Linked DNA regions of Schizosaccharomyces pombe. Changing the gene in region 1 together with any one later gene gives a genetic interaction. Each region holds a gene or a part of one and is shown in the gene's direction. Other genes may lie near its edges.

The links. A genetic interaction does not mean that the proteins touch.
Region 2: mutations in mis4 (region 1) and pph3 impair growth when combined (synthetic growth defect), as found in Schizosaccharomyces pombe (one study listed by BioGRID).

Annotation. Positions count from the first base shown.
Region 1 is NC_003424.3:395,222-398,979, reverse strand, and holds the start of mis4 (adherin Mis4), read left to right. Parts: upstream 1-2,040; 5' UTR 2,041-2,090; coding exon 2,091-2,199; exon of another isoform or gene 2,200-2,238; coding exon 2,239-2,434; intron 2,435-2,477; coding exon 2,478-3,758. Other genes in the region: ATP synthase complex assembly protein atp25, read right to left, coding at 1-1,271. UniProt on the Schizosaccharomyces pombe protein: Plays a structural role in chromatin. Chromatid cohesion molecule required for equal sister chromatid separation in anaphase. May form a stable link between chromatids in S phase that is split rather than removed in anaphase.
Region 2 is NC_003423.3:3,954,276-3,958,033, reverse strand, and holds pph3 (serine/threonine protein phosphatase), read left to right. Parts: upstream 1-1,947; 5' UTR 1,948-2,104; coding exon 2,105-2,174; exon of another isoform or gene 2,175-2,289; coding exon 2,290-2,744; exon of another isoform or gene 2,745-2,778; intron 2,779-2,797; coding exon 2,798-3,319; 3' UTR 3,320-3,482; downstream 3,483-3,758. Other genes in the region: CIA machinery monothiol glutaredoxin Grx4, read right to left, coding at 1-530.

The DNA of each region.
Region 1 (3,758 bases):
CCATAACGGTTCATAATCCTTTCCAAAAGAAATATGCGGTTGTCGAGAAAGAAGTTTGACTCCCCTTTAACCATACAAGAGCATATCATAAATTTTAAAAAAAGTAGTTTTAGTGAAAATGAATCGATGGTTTTTAGATCGACTAAAGATTTATACATTAGTGAAAGATACAACATCCGCTCACTAACCAAATTTTTAGAGTGTTTAGAAGCCATACTCAACTTTGTTGGAGACAAAGCTATAGTACTGAAAAGCGTATTGATATCCTTTGTAGTCAGTTGCAAAGAAGAATCTTTTCGAAGTCGCTCAAAAATTGAAAGAGTAAAATCCAAAGAAAAATTATTAGGATTTTGGAGATGCATTTTCTTATATTTTTCCAAAGTACTCGTCAGATTTTGTGAATTGACGTTTAACAAGATATCCTGGGTATCGCAATAAAGGGATGCGGCACTTTTTAAAGAAAAGTTACAAGTATGGAAACTTCTCCGAAATACGTTCGAGTGGTTATTAATAAAATTTGGAGGTAAAGAATTATCAGGTGTAGATTTACTAGTGAGTGAGACCCTAGATTGTTTGCCATGTTCGAGATCAGAATACAAAGTTTCATCCTTAACATGTTCAATATTGTCCAGTTTATAGTATTCCCTAAAATTTTTTGTAATTACATGAATGCTTATGCCGAAGTTTTCGATACTGAGACATGTCCAATTATTTTCAGACGTGTTTAATTGTCGGTTTGACAAATTGGAACGTTTCCTCATTCTCCGTTCTAAAATTTTTCTCCGAGATGCACTAGTAAGGCCATCTACGTTCACCGGTCCAACGTTTTTTTGTTTTAAAAGGCGAAGTAAGCCATTAGTAGCGGATACAACTTCAGATCCACAGTTGCAAGAAGCTAGTAAAATAAGATCTGAATCACACCAAAAAGAATCGGCGGGTGAGTTAACAAAACTGAGATCAGTGGCATAATACTTCTTTTTAAGAAGGTTTAACACATCAGCTAAAAAGTTTGGAGCACCTTTTGGAATAGGTGGCAGCGCAACCGCATCGAAATGCGCTTTTTTAGGAAATAGATTATGTTTTTCATCCACATACCATGGTTTTTTGCTTGAGACTTCCTCTGGTTGCGAATTAGCGTCATTACTTGAATTATCAGGAACTAAATTTTCAGGAAACTTTTGAGAAGCGAAAGGTCGTTTGTCAAATTTGCTTCGAAAAAAGGAAACACATAGTTTGTTGAAACGTAGATAATTAAAGCGATATGTGGGCATTTTTTAATAAAATATGAAATCTCAGCACAGTCATTAAAAATATAAGAATTAATATAATTGAAGTGTTACCTTATAAAGCCGAAAAAAGAATTTCTCAATGCTGTTCTATCACAGTATAACATGAAGACATTGTCTTCTGTTTGAATAGTAATAGATAAAACTTAGATTAAAGCAACAAAAATATTTAGTATGTTTTAAAACAAGACCGCAAATTATTAGGAGAAAACCAAATATTTAATGACCTTGGCACGTTTTCCTAACCAAGAGACCGATTCTAAATAGTGTTCCACTGTAGAAATACGTAATCACCAATATCCGAAATGTACGAACGTTTCTTATGTCAGCAATACTACATTACGCTATGATACACTACGTTGCGTATCACTATATGTCACATGTTCTAATTATATATCGTACCATTTATGATACGATATGGAAATTAATCTTAATGATAATCTATTAAGATCTATATTATCTGAATACTATAAATAGAGCTACTGCTGAACTCGTTCCTCAGTTCAGTTATGAGCTATATTAGTGATAGGTAACATTATAACCCAGTTAATACAATACCTATACTCAGTTGCTACTTATACAACCTGTGTATTGTAATATAATAGATCACAAGGAAAACTCACCGCAGTTCTACGTATCCTTAAATCAGATACCAAACTGCGTAGCTTACATCTTAATTGCATTTTCCCGTTTCGGTCTATTGCCTTAAACTTGTTTACGCTTTATATATACCGACGTTTCTTTGTTTTTAGATGAATGAATTTAATGATAAATACTTCCCTTTCTTAGCTTTGCAATGTTTTGATGCTTTTCGAGATGACACCTGAAACCTTTAAAAAAGTTAACTCCTCTAATCGAATTATTAAAGGGCTTCAATACACACCATTAGCATCATCAATCCCATTGGAAAATGGTATGCATACAGTTTGAACGCGTCTATTAATTTACATAGGTTTACAAAACGTATTATATCCATCTTCTAAATTTCAAAATGAGCCATTGCAACTTAACTCCGAAGAATCAAGTATTATGCAAAGATATGTGGATATGCTAAATCCTGGCGCAACATTCGTTAACGATTCTGAAACCTTTAATTTTTATAAAAATGCTCTTAGCGCTATGATAACGGAACCTGCAATGCCCGCAATGTAAGTTAAATTTTTTGAGGTTTTTTATCTGACAAATATAAAGGAGGGTGAATGCCAGTCCGGTCCTAGACCAAAAGGTGTGTAACAGTGACTCGTTAAGTGAATTAAATGATTTTACAAAATCTCTGATTCAGCCAAGTATGTTGATGTGTGAACCCAAGGAGAAACCTGATGCTTCTTCTATAAATACAAACCGTTCATCTTCCGACAATGGCTTCTTAACTCCGTCTTCAAGTCCTCGAAGTCCATCATGTTCTCGCGTATTTAACGCTGTTCAATTATGTAGCCCTAAAAAATCTAAAGATGATATTACTACCCCAAAAAAGCGACTTATGGAAGACACTTATTCGCCTCGTGAATCTCCCTCAAAGATCCAGCGGTTGCAGGACGTTTTGTTAAAGCAGTTGCAAGATACCAGATTACTAATTTCTCAAGTTATAGAAGCTGAGAATTCGGAAGATTTTTCATCGAATTCTCTCTTTATTAAACGAGAAGACGATGATGGAAAACACATTTCATCGCACGCAATTGAAAAGCTATATATGGCATTAACCAAGCTTAGTCGTTTGGGAGCTTGTGACAAATTGCTGGAAGAAGGGAGTATAATACTTGTAAAACAAATCCTTGAGAAAGAGTTAAAAGAGCTTCCTGTCGCTTGTTACAGTATAATTAATCTTCATGACAGCCTCACACAATTTCCGAATTTAGACTTTATTTTAAAGACCACTGCTCTTGTTCTTTTTATAATATTTCTGGTCCCCTCCTTTAAAAAGCTTCAAAATGAAGAATCAATTCTTCATTTACTTAATATCTTACATTCCATATTTGAGTACACAGTTCCTGAAGCGATTGATAACATCGTTCAATCAAAAACTTCCGATGCTAGGACTTCTGAAATTCAACATCTATCAGTTTTGTTACAAAAAGTCGCAAATGTATTAAACATCTTATCTAAAGTTGCCCATGAAATTCCCTTGTCGGAAGCTGTGGTCATACGCATTGTATATTTATTTCCCAAAGTCTCTACACTCGACAATTCCTTCAAAACTAAACTTCCTAACTGTAACAGCTCATCCTTCGATTTTCTTAAAGCTCCTTTATTTCAAACGTTACAATATTTATTTCGTCTTTATCCTTATCAGCGAGATTTTATCATTGAAGAATCACTTACAAATTTTTCTCACTTGCCCACTGCTCGTTCGGTCTCAAGGACCTATAGACTCTCTAACGGTAAATCCATACAATACTATTCAACCCTATTTGTACGTTTAATTCAGTCATGCTCCATTCAAAACTTATTCGACTCAGAAATTGTACAATCGGA
Region 2 (3,758 bases), on another chromosome or scaffold:
TTACGACTAAAACCACATGCAGGTTCTGAAGGAGTACCCTTTAAAAAGAGCATAACATTGTGAGCATTTGTTAGCGTGCTCAACCTTTCATTTAGTTCAGAATCCAACCCATTTGGAGCTTTAGAGGTATTGGAAGTAGTGTTGGTAGTCTGAACGGAATTTACTTGAGTTTCCACGGACGCGTTGGTAGAGGATATTTGGGAGATAAGGGGTTGAATATACTCGTCAATAGCAGCCTTCAATTTTTGAGGATTTGCCCCCGAAATTCTAGCCAAAACTTTTGCTCCGTGGATTAAAACAAATAGAGGAACAGCGTTTACATCAAACGACTCTGCTATATCGGAAAATTTTTCAGCTTCAATTTTTAAGAAAACGGCATTTTTCGTGTCCTTTGCAAATTGATCAAAGACTTGGTTCATTTGCTTGCATGGAGCAGCCCATGGTGCATAAAAATTGAGTAAAATTATTTGCTCTTTTCCATTTTGCAATATCTCTTGAAATTGTTCAACAAAAGTAATTTCGACGCTCATTTCCAATCAAAATAGCACAGCTTGAGGAATTATTTCTTTTCCTACTTTTTTTTTCAAAAACCTAGTTTATTCTTTTTAATCAACAATCAACGCCCTATTTTTTCCTAGTTGGTTGTCGGCAGGTTCGGCTGAGCAGTGTAGAAAACGTATCTAGTAAAATCTCTTCCTTGCACAATAGGCGACGCAAATGATATAATTGCAGCAAAAAACATATCCAAGTAAATTACTCGAAATTTTTTAGTTAAACCACTTTTGATGTACGTTTTGATGATTCTTCTTCACTTTTTTCATTGTCTATTCATTAAACGGCATTCTCGATCTCATTTTTTTAATTACCATCGTGACTGATCAGATAACTTTATCCCTCGGTATTAAAACGTCTGGAAAATAATTTTTTCGGCAAAAAAAACTAGTGTGTTGCGCTTATACTCCGATTCTACGTAATACCCAAACAATTCTGTTAACATTTTATTTTTGTATGTTGTACATAAAATTAACAGTCGCTTTACTAGCCAAATGAGTTTATAACAAGCGACCAAAACAACCAAGATGAGATATGTTTCATACTTGATAAAAACAACAGCATACACATTGATTGATATAGTTAAAGTATTAAAAAATTGCATTGTACTGCTCAGGGCAAGCATTTCTTACACACCTCATTCTTTTGATAGTACGCAAATTGCAGTAAACCATATTGAAAGATAGAAAGAATATATTTCTAAAATCTTTTTAGTTATTTGAACATCTTGAGTTGCCGACTGAACATAAGTAAAGAATAGTATGCAAATTATGTTAAAGCTTCACATAAATTATGGGTTTGCAACACGAATTGACTATACAGTTTTTCTATATTGAGTGTATATTCCGCCACAGGGGTACGCCTTCAGCATACAGATTATTTTACCTATAATTGTGAGTGTTATCTGATTTTTACCAAGAAGCTATAGTGTTATGTAGTTTATTTCACAAAAACCCTATAACATCAAAGCTGCGCATTTGTGCGAACAATTTAGATCCGTTAGAACTATAGGAGTTTTTCTTATAATCTAGATATATATATGAGTAGGTGCACGTTCTTGTATTAGCGTTATAAAAACTCAAGATCAATGATAATACGGCATGCTATAATAATCATACTGGAGTAGCATGCAACTTAATTAAAAGATTCTAGTTCATCATTAATTTTAAGTATAAATGATTAAAAAAAAACAATCTAATACAAAAACTTGTGTCCATTTCATTTCGAGATGAAAGCACTAATAATGGTGGAGCAACCGTATTTTTCTGAAAAACAATCTAGCGTAACGCAACGTATGTGTCAATAAAATTCGGAAGCTGCTAATTAAGGAGGTCATGTTAATTATTTTAAAAGTCATTATCAAAAGGAAAACCGAATTTTAGTCACCAAAGCTCTACGCGTCATACCTCTTGACAGAGGTATTTTGACTTATTTAAAATTAAATTTCTTAAATGATACATAAAGTTGAAAAAGAATTTCACTTGTTTATTTTCTTATTCTAAAGGACCAAGTTATTCTAGTTTTCTTTACTTTATGTTTTGACGAGTTCAAAATGACTGATTTAGATTTGGATTGGCAACTTGAGGAACTGGAGAACGGAAGGTTAATTCCAGAATCAAATGGTATGTATAATAGTATTTATAGAATAACTTTTATCTCCGTCGATATAACAACGATCATTCATATTGGTTGTTCTTTGCCATAATTATAAGAATGGGGTCTAACGTTTTGTGGTAGTTGTTGAACTTTGTCAGCGTGTAAGAGATATTTTAATTGAGGAATCTAACATACAATGGATCTCATCTCCTGTAACCATTTGTGGTGATATCCATGGCCAATTGCATGATTTACTGGAGCTTTTTCGAATTGGTGGGTCATGTCCAGGTACAAAATATTTATTTCTAGGGGATTTTGTTGATAGAGGGTTTTACTCTGTAGAAACATTTCTCCTGTTATTGACTTTAAAATGTAAATATCCGAAAGAGATGACCCTTATCCGGGGAAATCATGAATCACGACAAATAACACAAGTTTATGGATTTTATGACGAATGTGTAAGGAAATATGGTTCTGCCAATGTATGGCGATATTGTTGTGAAATATTTGATTATCTTTCGCTTGGTGCTTTGGTGGATGGAAAGGTTTTTTGTGTGCACGGTGGACTTTCACCAAGCATCAGCAGTATCGATCAGGTATGTTATTAATTCCGAAAATTTGAACTAAACTTTTAACGCTTTTTATGAAGATTCGACTGTTGGATCGAAAACAAGAAGTTCCGCATGAAGGAGCAATGTGTGATCTACTTTGGTCAGATCCAGAAGATATTAGTGGATGGGGTTTATCTCCCAGAGGTGCTGGATTTTTGTTTGGTGCCGACGTTTCTGAAGTTTTTAATCGCGCTAATGACCTTTCATTCATTGCTCGTGCTCATCAATTGGTTATGGAGGGTTACAAAATCCATTTTTCCGATAAAGATAAACAGTATCCCAAATTTACAAATGAAGAGGACTCTGAGCTGGATTCAGATTCTGCCTCACCTGTTGATGATTCTCCGGCACCTGGAGACATAATAACCATTCCAGAAAAGGATAAAGGAAGCGTGGTTACTGTTTGGAGTGCACCCAATTACTGTTACAGATGTGGAAATGTTGCTTCTATATTACAACTTGATGAAAACCAAACGCAATCCTTTAAGATTTTTGGTACTGCCTCTCAAGAAAGATCTGGCATTCCAACAAAACGACCCATTGCCGACTACTTTTTATGATTATTCAAAATTCATTGCTCTACTTCACTTCCCCAATATCATGTATATAGGTCAACTTGTACTAAAGATTATCCCCTTAACTCTTCTTATTGGTCTCTCATTTTTAATTCTGCACTTATTTAATTCTTGTTTATGGAATTTGGTTATTTTAGCAATATTGATTTGTTTAGGACATCATAAATTTAAAAAGTAATTAAGTTAAATTTTAATTGTAACTTTTTTAAGCTAACTTTCAACGCACAAGATTGTTTAGTCGCTTTCTGAAGGTAATTTAAAGTAGATTGCAAAATGCTCGGTTTTCAAACATTAATCCTCATTTGATCGAACTTCAAACCTGAATTCAGAAACTGGGGTGATGAATATCATTTTTTAAGCTTAATGCTGAAAATTTAATATTACATTATTGAGTCAGCTGGTTTGAGTCTTTGTAGTTTAGACT